2 linked regions of the Drosophila melanogaster genome follow. Changing the gene in region 1 together with any one later gene gives a genetic interaction. Each region holds a gene or a part of one and is shown on either strand. Other genes may lie near its edges. The genes, in order: REPTOR and mTor.

Evidence for each region.
Region 2: of REPTOR (region 1) and mTor, changing one suppresses a phenotype caused by changing the other (phenotypic suppression), as found in Drosophila melanogaster (one study listed by BioGRID).

Annotation. Positions count from the first base shown.
Region 1 is NT_033777.3:24,577,765-24,584,798, reverse strand, and holds the start of REPTOR (repressed by TOR), read left to right. Parts: upstream 1-1,934; 5' UTR 1,935-2,086; intron 2,087-7,034. Other genes in the region: CG13625 (uncharacterized protein), read left to right, coding at 1-1,662.
Region 2 is NT_033779.5:13,001,930-13,008,754, forward strand, and holds the start of mTor (mechanistic target of rapamycin), read left to right. Parts: upstream 1-2,550; 5' UTR 2,551-2,856; coding exon 2,857-3,082; intron 3,083-3,137; coding exon 3,138-3,358; intron 3,359-3,501; coding exon 3,502-4,068; intron 4,069-4,420; coding exon 4,421-5,157; intron 5,158-5,216; coding exon 5,217-6,825. Other genes in the region: Vha68-1 (vacuolar H[+] ATPase 68kD subunit 1), read right to left, coding at 1-608, 694-1,391, 1,655-1,730. UniProt on the Drosophila melanogaster protein: Promotes cell and tissue growth, maintains tissue homeostatis and controls responses to environmental stress and aging. Regulates growth during animal development by coupling growth factor signaling to nutrient availability. Central regulators of autophagy.

The sequences.
Region 1 (7,034 bases):
GAAATCAAAGAAGAGCACGAGGAATCCTCGCCAGCAACTGGCATTCGCATCAAACAGGAGCCCTTGGATGAGGAGCAGGAGATGTGGGGACGCAAGGCGACAGTTGTTAAGGTTAAGGATGAATTCTCACCATCCAGACGAAGTTCACCCGTCAGAATTAAGCAAGAAAAACGCAGCAGCTCTAGGGATTTAAGCCCAGCGAGATCGAGTAAGCCAGCAAAGCGAGAAGAGAGTCCTCAAAGGGGGCGAAGAAGGGCGGGAAGCTCAGATCAGAGTCCCACCAGACGAGGGCGAGATGGCGATCAGTCTCCGCCACGCCAAAAGCACAGGGATTCCGATCAGAGTCCACCCCGAAAGGCCAGGAATGGCAATCAATCGCCAGTCAGAAAAAGGCGGGATTCCGACCAAAGTCCGCCAAGAAAACGAACGGGAAAAGCATCACCCACTCGAAGGAGAAGGGATTCCGATCAATCGCCACCCAGACGCCGCAGAAGTAACTCCGATCAGAGTCCGCCAAGGCGACGTAGAGACAAGGATTCAACTCCGCCCAGAAGGAGGAAAGATTCCGATCAAAGCCCACCTCGAAGGCGTAAAGCAGACGATCAATCTCCGGTGCGAAGGGAAAGGAAAGACTCCGACCAAAGTCCGCCTAGGAAACGGAGAGACAATGACCAGTCTCCAGTGCGAAGGAGGCGGGATTCAGATCAAAGCCCGCCCCGAAGACGCAGAGATGACAAGCAAACGCCGCCAAGGAGGAGAAGAAACTCCGATCAAAGCCCGCCAAGAAGACCCAAGGATGTAGATCAATCGCCACCGCGAAGAAAACGAGACTTCGACCAAAGTCCAACCAGAAAACGAGACAAATCACCACGCAGACGTCACGACTCCGACCAAAGCCCGGCCAGAAATCACAGAAGTCGAGAGCGCAGTCCACCGCCTCGTAATCGCTTCAAGGAAGAAAGGAAAAGTCGCTGGGCCAAGGCATCGCCCAGCAAATCAGCATCTCCACCTCCGACACACAAGCCGAAATCCACCAAGACACTAGATGGCAAGAAAGCTGGACTGCAGGATGCGAAATCGCTGAAGAAGGAAACCGACGAAAGGCGTCGACAAGAACATGAACTATTCGAGAAAATGTCCAGCGAAATTTCCGGTCGTGATGGCGATGTGCAGGTGCGCAGTACTCGCAGAAAGGGACACCGAGCACGAGATGCCGCCAATGAGGATCCCGCCGAGCAGGGCCGCAAAGAGGAGCACGAGAAAAAGAAGAAGGAACTGTACGATCGCTGGGGCAAGGGGTTGAAGCAAATAGAAGATCACAAGTCCCGCCTGGAGGAGATGGTCCATGAGGCCTCCAAACCGGTGGCTCGCTATGCCAACGACGAGGATCTGGACAGGCATCTGCGCGAACAGGAGCACGCCGACGACCCGATGCTGGAGTACATGCGCCAGAAGCGCAAGAAACGCGACCAGCAGGACAACAAGCCGGTGATGCCCAAGTACGAGGGCAGCTTTCCGGAGAACCGATTTGGCATCCGACCAGGATATCGCTGGGATGGCGTCGATCGATCCAACGGCTACGAGCAGCGTTGGTTCGACAAACAGAACGAACGGCGGGCCGTGCAGGATGAGGCCTACAAGTACAGCGTGGAGGATATGTGAATGTTGCAAGCGTTGTTTGCTTTCGTGTTGCAATAAAGATGTAGGCACTGCCTGTAAAAAAGAAAAGAGCAATTACATTGATCGTTTTCTTTGTTTTATTGAATTATTTTGGAAAATAAAGAATGTAAATAGGTAATATAATATTTAATATTTATTTACAAAAATTTGATTTTCGAAATGCCCGCCACTTTCCCGCCAAATCGACGTGCCACCTGCAACACTGGTCGCCAGCGCAATGCAACCCTGTGTGTAGAATAGCGGAGCAAAAGCGAATGGTAAATAGTCTTCATCTACACCTGCGACCTGCTCGTCGCTCCCAAAAAATCGTTTCAAAACCACGGAATAAACCGTGTAACTGGGGAAAACCCATTGTAATTATCAAGTTTAAAGTGTGCCGCACATTTTGGCTTCAAAACCAGAATAGGTAAGTGACATCATCTGCTAAATAGAAGCATTCTAAGATTTTTGCTTTGTAAGCAATAGAGTATCGATGTGTGTGTGTGTATGTAAATGGTTCTGCTTTTGGTTGCTTTGTTGCTGCTTTCGTTACAGCGAACAAAGCGTAAGCAACTGTATATGTGTATCGAGTGGGACGCCAGTGGTGTGTGTTTGTTGCCCCGCCCCCAATAATTAGCATAAAACTCTCTTAACCACAACAAAAACACCACAGTCGTGTTGGTTTGTGCATTTGTGGATTGGGATTTCGGTGGTTTTCCTTTTTTTTTCAGCTGCTTTGCCTGCCCTTCGCCTTCAGCCGCAATTGTCGGTCAGCCGATGAAAAACCAGTTTGTTTGTTTGTTGGCTTGTAGCTGCTGCTGCTGCGGCTGATTGTTGTGATTTTGTTGTTGCTGCTGGTGCTGCTGCACTGCAATTTGCTTGGCGCAAAATTGGCGCCAAAAGCTTTTCAGCTGCAGAAACGTGTGGAAATGTTGAAATGTGTACGTACCATTCCAATCAGGCATTTGGCGCATGCACGCGCCTGTCGCTCGCTGCAGCTTCCATCTCGCTCGCTCGCGGCGGGATGCAAATACCGCAATCAGCTTTCGTTCTATCTCTTTCCCGTTGACACACATACACACTTCCGCACATCGCATTCATTCATGACACTGCTATTTACTCCCCCTCTCTCTCCCCTGCCCCTCTACGTTCTTCTTTTCGATTCCTTGTGTGCCATTTCGTGGTCTGCTTTTATTTCGCTTCATTTTGAATTAATTGCACTTCGTTAGATTATTATTTTTGCACTCTAACAAAGAGCCGTTCGTTTGGATGTTACTTTGTGTGCAAATGAAGATTTAGCCAATTTACACAATCGTAAATTTAATTTGCGTTAGTGTATGTAAATCCATAATTTTCAGTTTCTATTTCCTTTTAGCAATCAAGTGCTAATTTGATCAATTATGCGCCTTTGATAAATAAATAAATAATGCAGTAAATTTATTTGTTTGATATTCTCTTTAATGTTGTAATTGTGCACTTTTCATACATATTATACTCCTTTGTTCTTAAAAATGCATAAAGTGAAGGTGGTTTTAAATTATGCTATAGACTTTGATTTTTTTAAAAGGTATTGACTAATTGAGTTTTTTAAACTTCAAGTTTACTCATTTTAAATGCATGAAAAACAGTTCTTTATAAGTTTAACTAGTTTTTAGTTATTTGTTGTTAACGGCAGATATTACACGCAATGGACATCGCAAAGATGCTAATTCTTTATTTCCCTAAGATAAGGGTAAAAATATCAAATATCTGTTTCTGAAAGTTTGCCTATTTTGCTTTTGAGCATGAAAACTTTCTTCAACTTTTCTTGGGCACTTTGTGTTTTTGAATGTTCTTTGCATCAGACAGGCTAAGATCAGTGCTTGGCCTTCTTCGACACATGGCCCTCTTAACCCCCCCAAAAAAAGGGGGAGAACCATAAACTGATGGCGCAGACACCCCAAGGAAACCTTCGCTGGTCCAAAAGCAACCCCCAGAGCAAGCTCAACCCTTGTCCTTGGCCCTTCCTTGTGCATTTCCTTGGCTTTTTCCTCGCGAATGGGGTGCTTCCAAGGACCCAGTGACATGACATTGTAATGGCTTAGAAATTTACACGCATCCCATGCTGAGTACGTGTGTTCCAAGCACCCCTTACAATCCACAGATTGATCCTCCCCCTTGGTCTTTGCTCGGAAATTGAGGGGTTGGTTTGTGTCATGCACTGTCAAAAATATTTATTAAATTACCAATATCTGAAACTCTAAATAAATTTCCCAATAGATGTAAAATCAGCACAAGAAATTTGCTATTTTCAAACGCCTTTTTTATCATAACTTGGCTAAAAATGTACTCACATTACAACATTTGATAGTTTTGTGCAGCTTATTATCCCAACTAACGATCTATATCACTTTTTTGTTCATATTTGGAATTTCAAAATTTTATGAATTTTGGATTTTTTGCAAGGGGTAACATCATAAAATTTTGAAAAAAATTTAACAAAAAAAAAAATTTTCAAATTTAAATGCCAATTGATTTAGAATTTTATAACGAGTTTTTTGAGATATGGCATTCCATATTGTGGCTGTTTTTTATAAAATTATGACGAAAAAACGAACTATTATGTGCGGAAAATTAGGCTAAAAAATTATTGCAAAATTTCATATTTACGAATACCACAAATATTGACTATTTGATTTTGATATATTTGAAATATTATTTATTACTGTTTATGTATGTACCAAATTGTTTGCAGTGTAGAATTTTGGCACAGTGATTCGGGTTCTTTAAAGCGTTTTTTAATTCCTTCACATGCTGGAACAACATAGGGCAAAGTTATTCAAATTCCTTTTGTTCGAAATCCTGTTGAATGGCAAAGGGAATTTCAATTCGGTTGATTCGATGGAATTTCCTCGGCACCACGTGTTCCGATCCTGGGATTTCCAATGACTCATACGCTTGGGGTTGTTGCTAGGGAAGCTTCTGAGTGGAGGAACTTCAGTTGGAATTGCCTTCTCGATCCTGGAACTTCCAATCAGTTTCTTTAATGGGAAAACTAGCGTATACTAATTCCTTAATTATTACTTTACCGACTTCAAGCTGCTGGAGGAATAGGAAGAGGGAAAGTCTAGGGGACTTACACCCCGCTAGGCCAACAAATAACTAGAGGAAAACAATGGAATTTTCATAATTTTCCTGGTCCATCTGGTTTTTCCCCCCTGCTTTGTGAACCTTATCCTCTTAGAACAATGCTGTGTAAAAGCGCCCCGCTGGAAAAACTAGTTTCTCCGCTTTCTTTCGATCGGAAAACAGAAGGCGAATGCCTTGTAACCAGTTTCTGCTAATTTGTGCACACGTGCAAATCCTTGGACAAAGGATCCATTGATAGAAACTCGTTCCAGCCCCCCGCCCGAGGCGAAAAGAAAAAAAAGGAAAGTGTTGGGTTCAAAACGCCGCCGGCCACTGACACAGGAAATTAAGGTTAATTCATCAAATTTTCGAAAAAGTTTTCTTCAAGAGACGGTCCGGATGGAAAATGCACTTTTCTTGGATCATTTGTCACTCGCATAATTAGATGCTTGTTATGACATCGCTGGGTTCAAAGTGCGAAGCATCAAGTGGTGTCGAGATGAGTTAGCATTTTAGGATCACTATATAAGAAAATTGGATGATTATAAATGGGAGTTTAAGTTGAGTTCAAGTGGTGTAGAGTCAAAGGATCTCGCAGGATCAACAGGGATTCTTGACGAACCAAAGAACGAAACAATCTTCTTCTCTTCTAATAAATTGTATTAAATCTGACAAAAGTTGTAGAAAACAACAATTAGATGGAATAAAAATATATAGAGCTATAATTCTCATATTAAATTTCATACCAAGAACTGACCTTAGATGATCCTCAGTTGGAGAAATCCTTTAACAACACTTCCTCCACATAACCATTTAGAGCTCGAGAGCTTCTGTTCCAGTTTGGAACCATAAATCAAGATCCATTGTTCGTTTCACGTGGATTGTTCTACTTACCGTACTGCTTACAGAACTTTGTAAGACAGACAATGGAGGGAATCCAAAAACAGGACTCGCGAAGGAGACAACCCGCTGCCCTAGATAACCATGAAAAGCATCCCGAGACTCTTTTTATTTTCATTATTACTACTTGCCCGAATGCCAAATTTGAAATTCCAGTTTGCTTTCGAACAAAGCACACGCATATGGATCAAAGGACATTAACTTGGGTGTTTTTTTTTTTTACGGGGGGGAAGCGAAGACAGCTTGGCTCGAAAGGATCTGCTCTGGCAATGGGAACAATATAAAATGGGAGATGGGAGCAGGACAATGATATAGTAGCGATTTAACTACCCTTGGTAGTTAAACTTATGCTACTTTTATGTTTTCCCAATAAAAACAGTTCCGTTTCTATTCACTCATTCTTCAGATTTGTTTTCTTAGTTCCTTAGGTGCGCTTTCCCCTTTCCCCTTCCGCATTCATTTCAATAGAAATGTAAATAGGAAATTTTAATAATGATTGAAATGAGTTTTTCGCGTGGAAAAAGCAATCGTATCGAAACGGAACCGAATGGATCGGATCTTCGAAGAGGGTTGCTGCACCCCATTAAAAGAAACTGCATGCGGCAACCCACAGTTAAGTATGTAATTTTCTGCCATCCATATGCAGATTTGTAAGGACATAACAATCTACGAGATGTTCGCCATAAAAAGGAAAAACTTAGAGGGGGAAAAAAGAAGTGTACGAACTGCCACTGACATCGATGATTTATAAACTGTTTTTTAATCGCCAGTCGCGCTGCTTGTCGCCAATTTCCATATCCATTTGAAATTCTCCTTCTATGTGCTATATAATTGAGCGTTAAAGAGCGTGGAAAATGCAAATCGGTGGAAATGCCAGGGGGGGGGGGGTTAACGAAAGCGAGGAAAATTAAGTGGAAAGTGACTTTTTAAATAGGCCAAACTGTACTTGTGCGAAATGAAATTAGTGGTTGCGTTCAGGGGTAATAATATTTAAGTAAATGTTACTTCGTTCAGCAAACATTAATGCTCCAATATAAAGGGGAAATCACTTTAAGTATGCTACTAAAATTAAGTATGTAGCATTTGAAAAGCTGAAACTTCAATCATACTTAACTCTTTTCCAGTGAAACGCCATTTCACTTGAATTCCTATAAACTTTACTAATGGACTGTCCATCAAATCGTTTTCTTGGAAATAAAAGTTGTTTTTTCGCTGTCCAAATAGCACATAATAATTGAAAGTTTTACTGTACCTAGTTTATTTTTCTAAAATTCACTCACTCATTCATGGAAGGAAACTCCTTGCCGCCAGCGCTTTTCCACCCCGCGTCGTTTGCTGGCTAAACAAAAAGTTAAATCGTCTACGAA
Region 2 (6,825 bases), on another chromosome or scaffold:
TATTCATCCAGAGCACGCATGTACTTCGAGTAGGAGATGAGCCAGTTGATCGAGGGGAAGTGCTTGCGCTGGGCCAATTTCTTGTCGAGACCCCAGAACACCTGCACGATACCCAAAGTGGCGGAGGTCACGGGATCGGAGAAGTCACCACCAGGAGGAGACACAGCTCCGACAATGGACACGGATCCCTCGCGCTCCGGGTTACCCAAGCACTTGACGCGCCCAGCACGCTCGTAGAATGTGGCCAGACGAGCTCCTAGATAAGCCGGGTAGCCAGAATCGGCAGGCATCTCAGCCAAACGACCCGAAATCTCACGAAGTGCCTCAGCCCAACGGGAGGTGGAATCAGCCATCATGGCTACGTTGTAGCCCATATCACGGAAGTATTCAGACAGAGTGATTCCAGTGTAGATGGAGGCCTCACGAGCAGCCACCGGCATGTTGGAGGTGTTGGCCACCAGAGCAGTTCGCTTCATAATGGACTCGGTGACGCCATCTATCTCGCAGGTCAGTTCGGGAAAGTCACGCAGTACCTCAGACATCTCGTTACCGCGCTCGCCGCAACCGACGTAGATGATCACATCAGAGTTGGAGTACTTGGACAGGGCCTACGGGTGGTTGAAGTGCAGATTGGAAGGGATGGTCATTTAATGAGATGTAAGATGTGGATTAAGTGAATAATTTGCAACTTGCCTGCGAAATGACGGTCTTGCCGCAGCCAAAGGCACCGGGGATGGCAGTGGTGCCGCCCTGTACGCAGGGGAAGAGCGAGTCAAGGACGCGTTGGCCCGTGAAGAGCGGATGGTTGGCTGGCAGCTTCTCTGTGACGGGACGTGGCTGCCGCACTGGCCAGACCTGCAACATGGTGTGCTTGGTTATCTCGCCGTCGAACTCCGTCTCCAGGACAATGTCCTCCAGGTTGTAGTTGCCCGCGGGGGCAATGTATCGAACGGTTCCCTTAGCCCTGGGTGCCACAATCATGCGCTGCTTCACCAGCGTGTTCTCGTGTACCACTCCATACAGATCTCCTCCGGTGATGTGGGATCCCACCCGCACATTCAGCGGATTAAATTCCCACATCTCCGAGCGCGACAAAGCAGTTGTGTTGACACCTTTGGGTATATAGATGGAGTTGGTCATGACACCAATGTCCCGCAAAGGACGTTGGATGCCGTCGAAGATGCTGCCCATAATGCCGGGTCCAAGTTCCACGGAAAGAGGTTTGCCGGTACGCAGCACCGGATCGCCGACAGTCACGCCAGAGGTCTCCTCGTACACCTGGATGGTGGCCATGTCGCCCTCCAGACGGATGATCTCGCCCACCAGCTCGTAGTAGCCGACGCGGACCAACTCGTACATAGCTGATCCAGACATGGCCTCAGCGGTGACCACTGAAGTGGATTTAAAGTTGTTGAAGGAGGAAAAGCAGGAGAAATATGATTAGCAAGGAGTGGAGAGAGCAGCATAATGAGGAAGATTATGCGGAACAGGAGGAGGGGGAAGAAAGCATACAGAAATATGAAAAGGAGAAGGATAATAAGGAAGGATAAAAAGGAAGATGTGGAGGAGTATAATTAAGAACAGAAGAAAGGCAGGATTAAGGATTACAGAACTTGGGGGTCAGCGCATGAAGGACGCTGGTGACGTCGCTTACCTGGTCCGGATACCGCGTAGACACGGCCATATTCCGACTCGCGCTCCTCGTCTTTGAATTTCCTCAAGTTGGACATGGTCGCGGTTGCTGCTCTTCTTCTTCTGCTTCGGTAACGGTCAAATCGTTCGTTGGCTGTGGGAAAAAGTAACCGTTTTTCTTATAAACAAAAACACGCATTTTCCATGCCCCCGAATGAGAGAGCGTTTTCCGCGAGGAAACGCATAGGTGGCGCTGATGTGCAGCAGCAGCCCCCAGTGAAAAGCTTCACACCCCCGCAGCACAGCATCGATTTTCCAATACAATTTTCACACATGCCACCAACGGCAAGGTGAATTTTCCACCTTTTACCCATCACAAAAGCAATTTTCACACTTTCTTTTCATTCAACACCTTGTGGTCAGTGGTTTTGTGGCGTAAAAACTGCTTTTTCAGCTGCTCTAAAATTAAATAAGCTCACATTTGTTTCAACAGCTCTTATGAAAATTCTCTTGCTTTTTTGATTTCACTCTAGTATTGATCTATCGGTTATCGTCGAGGGCTCCAGGTTCTCTATAGAGATGGGCTCACATCAAACTCACGCACGTCACGATACATTAATAGTCGGATTCCACTAGCACATTCCGCAGTTAAATCTTGAAATACTTGTTGGTAATTATTAAAAATTTAACATAAGCTTGCATTTTTGTGCTATTTTCCAAATTCTTCAATGCAACTTGTTCACTCCAGTAATATAAATGTTTTGTACCACAACTTTAAGCCAATTTCTTTTTAATTGCTTATAATAAAGAACAAATTTATTAATTACTTTATTATTTTTATTTAATATGTTCTCTAACATTTTAAATGCTTATAAGTCGCCGCCAAGTACAGAAGTATCAGCAAGAAAATATCGATTGTAAATTGATCGAATTCTGTTTTACATCACTAATCGGCAGCGGCTGCAATAAATTTCCGTAAAAACCGAAGTAATCCGCAATTAAAGAAAGCAAAGGACCTGCATCCGTGTGAGATCGTTCGGCACCGGTGCCGGCACATGAAATCCTATCGAGTGACCAGTGGAACAGTGCGTACAGCGCCCCGGGGCAACTGAAAAGATAACCTCCAAAGTCCGTAGACAGCAGGCAGATGCACCTGCTCCACCCTTTCCCCTCCCAAATGCAAGTGAAAATCGCGTTTAAATAGTGAATAAACCCTGCCCAGCCATGTCGACGACGTCGGTGGTGCAGCAGTTCGTCAACGGGCTTAAGTCCCGCAACCGGAATGTACAGAACAAGGCAACCCAGGATCTGCTCTTCTATGTGAAGACCGAGCTACGCGAAATGTCCCAGGAGGAGCTGGCCCAATTTTTCGACGAGTTCGACCATCACATTTTCACGATGGTGAATGCGACAGATATCAACGAGAAAAAAGGCGGTGCCCTGGCCATGAGTGAGTTCCTGGCTCCCCGGCAGTGCTTGAGAGGATTTAACGTCTTCCCTTTCAGAGTGCCTGATTAACTGCGAGGGCAGTCTTACTGCCAGGAAGGGCATTTCGCCCTATCTCAACCGCCTGCGCGATCTTCTGCTAATCAACGATGTGTCCGTCATGGAGATTGCCGCCCGCTCCCTGGTCAAATTGGCCAACATGCCCACCTCCAAGGGCGCCGATTCCTTCGACTTTGATATTAAGAAGGCTTTTGAGGTGCTCAGAGGCGAGAGACAAGAGGTGAATTATAAGGGAAACCTACAAATTAAGCTTTTAAGTCTGATTTTGAGATGAAGATGGAAAAACTTTATAATGAAAATGAAAATAGTAGTTGTAAGCATGGCTAGAGTTATCCAAATTCATTTATATATTATTTTTTTCAGTACCGCCGCCATTCAGCCGTCTTTATCCTCCGTGAGCTGGCTATCGCCTTGCCCACATACTTCTACCAGCACATCCTGACCTTCTTCGAGGTTATCTTTAACGCCATCTTCGATCCCAAACCTGCTATACGAGAGTCAGCTGGCGAGGCTTTGAGGGCGGCTTTGATTGTCACCGCTCAGCGAGAGAGCACCAAGCAGTCCAGTGAACCACAGTGGTACAGAATCTGCTATGACGAGGCGAATGGAAGCTTCAATGCAGACTTGGGCTCTAGCAAGGATCAGAAAGGCGTGACCCGAGACGATCGCATTCACGGTGGCCTCGTCGTCTTCAACGAGCTCTTTCGCTGTGCCAATGCCACCTGGGAGCGGCGCTACACGTCTCTGAAGACGCTGTTCCCCAAGACCCAACACAATAAGTTCCTGGAGGCCAGCAGTTCGTCGAGTATGGGTTCCCAGCTGAATACTCTAGTGCCGCGGCTAAAGGTGCCCTTCATTGACAAGCTCGGCAGCACCCAAACGCATTTGGGTGAGGGAGAGCATCACAAAGGAGTTGCCAAGTTCGCGAGCGTGAGTCTAACGATCAAATACCTCCACACACGAATGTATTTGTCATTTTCATTTATTTACCTTTTGGTTTACGTAGTATGTACTTTACATGTATCTAAAAACCAAGCGATGCCTGACGGGAGGAAATCAGCTGACCTAATTATAGTTTAAAAATTGTGTAAAATGTAGCAGTAGAGTGTGATTCGTTACCAGTAGTAATTGTGGGGCGGCAATCATTTAGACAAGCATGTTTGTATTAAAATAGTATATTTTCCATTTGTTCATTACAAAAAAGATATTTTAATGTTTGTTAATTTAAAATACAAACTATTTAGTTATGTTTAAGCAAGTAACTAATAATATCGACATCCAGCAGCACAACGTACTGGAGTCCGCATATGCTCAGGAGATCCTTCAGGAGCACTACACCTCCATTTGCGACAATGTTTTGGAGCAGCGAACTTCGAAGTCTCCGTATGTACAGCAGGCACTCCTTCAAATACTTCCTCGATTGGCTGCCTTTAACCGCGCGGTGTTTGTGGAAAAATACCTGCAGACATGCGTGTCGCATTTAATGCAGATCCTGCGAGGCAAGGAGAAGGATCGCACGGTGGCGTACATAACCATTGGTTACATGGCTGTAGCGGTGCAGAGTGCGATCGAAGTTCATTTATCCAGTATAATGACTAGCGTGAAGGTCGCCTTGCCGTCAAAGGATTTGACCAGCAAACGAAAGGTACCAGTGGATCCTGCGGTCTTTGCCTGCATAACGCTTCTTGCTCATGCCGTTAAGTCGGAGATCGCCGACGATGTTAAGGATATCCTTGAGCAGATGTTCTACACGGGTCTCTCGCCAGCTCTGACTGTTTGCCTGAGGGAACTCTCCGAGAATGTGCCGCAGCTTAAGTCGGCCATTACAGAAGGATTGATCGGAATCCTATCCCAGGTGCTGATGAACAAGGCGGCAATTTTACCATACACTGCTTTGCCAACGATCGCCATCGATGGCTCGCTAATGCAGAATGGTGACGGAGCAACCACAGTGCTGGCACTCAAAACGCTGGGTACCTTCAACTTTGAGGAGCAAAACATGCTGGACTTTGTGCAACGGTAATTTAATTTAATTTACTATATTTTAGTTATATTACAAGGTTTGATTTCTTTTTCAGATGTGCTGACTACTTCATCGTTCACGAGCAGCAGGAGATTCGTCTGGAGGCAGTGCAAACATGCACACGACTCCTTAAACTGGCAGTGCAATCCTCTGAAAGTATGGAGAACTCCAAGACCCTCAGCGACACCGTTTCCCACGTGATTGAGCGCCTGCTTATGGTAGCCATTACTGATATGGACTGTAATGTGCGAATACGAATTCTACGTTCGCTGGACGAGACCTTTGATGGGAAGCTTGCTCAGCCAGAGTCTCTAAATTCGCTATTTATTACGCTGCACGATGAAATCTTTGAGATCCGGGAGCTGGCAATGGTTACCATTGGAAGATTGTCGTCCATAAACCCGGCTTATGTGATGCCCAAGCTAAGAACCACCATGATCGAATTGATCACGGATCTAAAGTACTCGGGAATGAGTCGAAACAAGGAGCAGAGCGCAAAGATGCTTGACCATTTGGTGATAAGCACGCCCAGGCTAATATCCTCTTACATGAATCCGATCCTCAAAGCCTTAGTGCCCAAGTTGCATGAGCCGGAATCGAATCCAGGAGTTATTTTAAATGTGCTTCGCACAATTGGTGATTTAGCAGAGGTTAATGGAGGCTCCGATGAAATGGAATTGTGGGCAGATGACCTTCTGTCCATTTTACTCGAAATGCTGGGCGACGCTGGCAGTCCGGATAAGCGAGGAGTGGCTCTGTGGACGTTGGGACAGTTAATCAGTGCAACAGGCAGGGTGGTTACCCCATATCACAAGTACCCCGTGCTCATAGATATTTTGATTAATTTCCTTAAAACGGAACAACGTCGATCCATTCGAAGGGAAACGATACGAGTGCTGGGCTTGTTGGGAGCCATGGATCCTTACAAGCACAAGATGAACAAGGGCTTGATTGATAGCCAAAAGGATAATGTTTTAATAGCATACTCCGATGGCAAAGTCGATGAAAGTCAGGACATCTCCACCGCTGAGTTGCTAGTTAACATGGGTAACGCATTGGATGAGTATTATCCCGCTGTGGCCATAGCTGCATTGATGAGGATTCTACGGGATCCCACGTTAAGTACACGTCACACCAGCGTGGTGCAGGCGGTTACTTTTATCTTCCAGAGCCTGGGCATCAAATGTGTGCCGTACTTGGCCCAAGTGCTTCCCAATTTGCTGGACAATGTACGCACTGCAGATAATAATCTAAGGGAGTTTCTCTTCCAGCAGCTCGCCATTCTGGTGGCTTTTGTCAAGCTGCATATCATCAGCTACATGGGAGATATTTTTAAGCTGATCAAAGAATTTTGGACCATTAATACGCCTCTGCAAAACACTCTAATCAATTTGATTGAACAGATCGCCGTGGCTTTGGGATGCGAGTTTAGGGATTATTTGGCGGAGCTGATCCCACAAATTCTGCGAGTGTTGCAGCACGATAACTCCAAGGATAGAATGGTCACGAGAAGGTTGCTCCAAGCTCTTCAAAAGTTTGGCAGCACTTTGGGTTACTATCTGCCGCTGATTTTGCCTCCGATCGTGAAACTCTTCGATTCTCCGTACGTACCACAACAGGTGTCAATGGTAGCCCTGGAAACGATCAACAATCTAGCCTGTCAG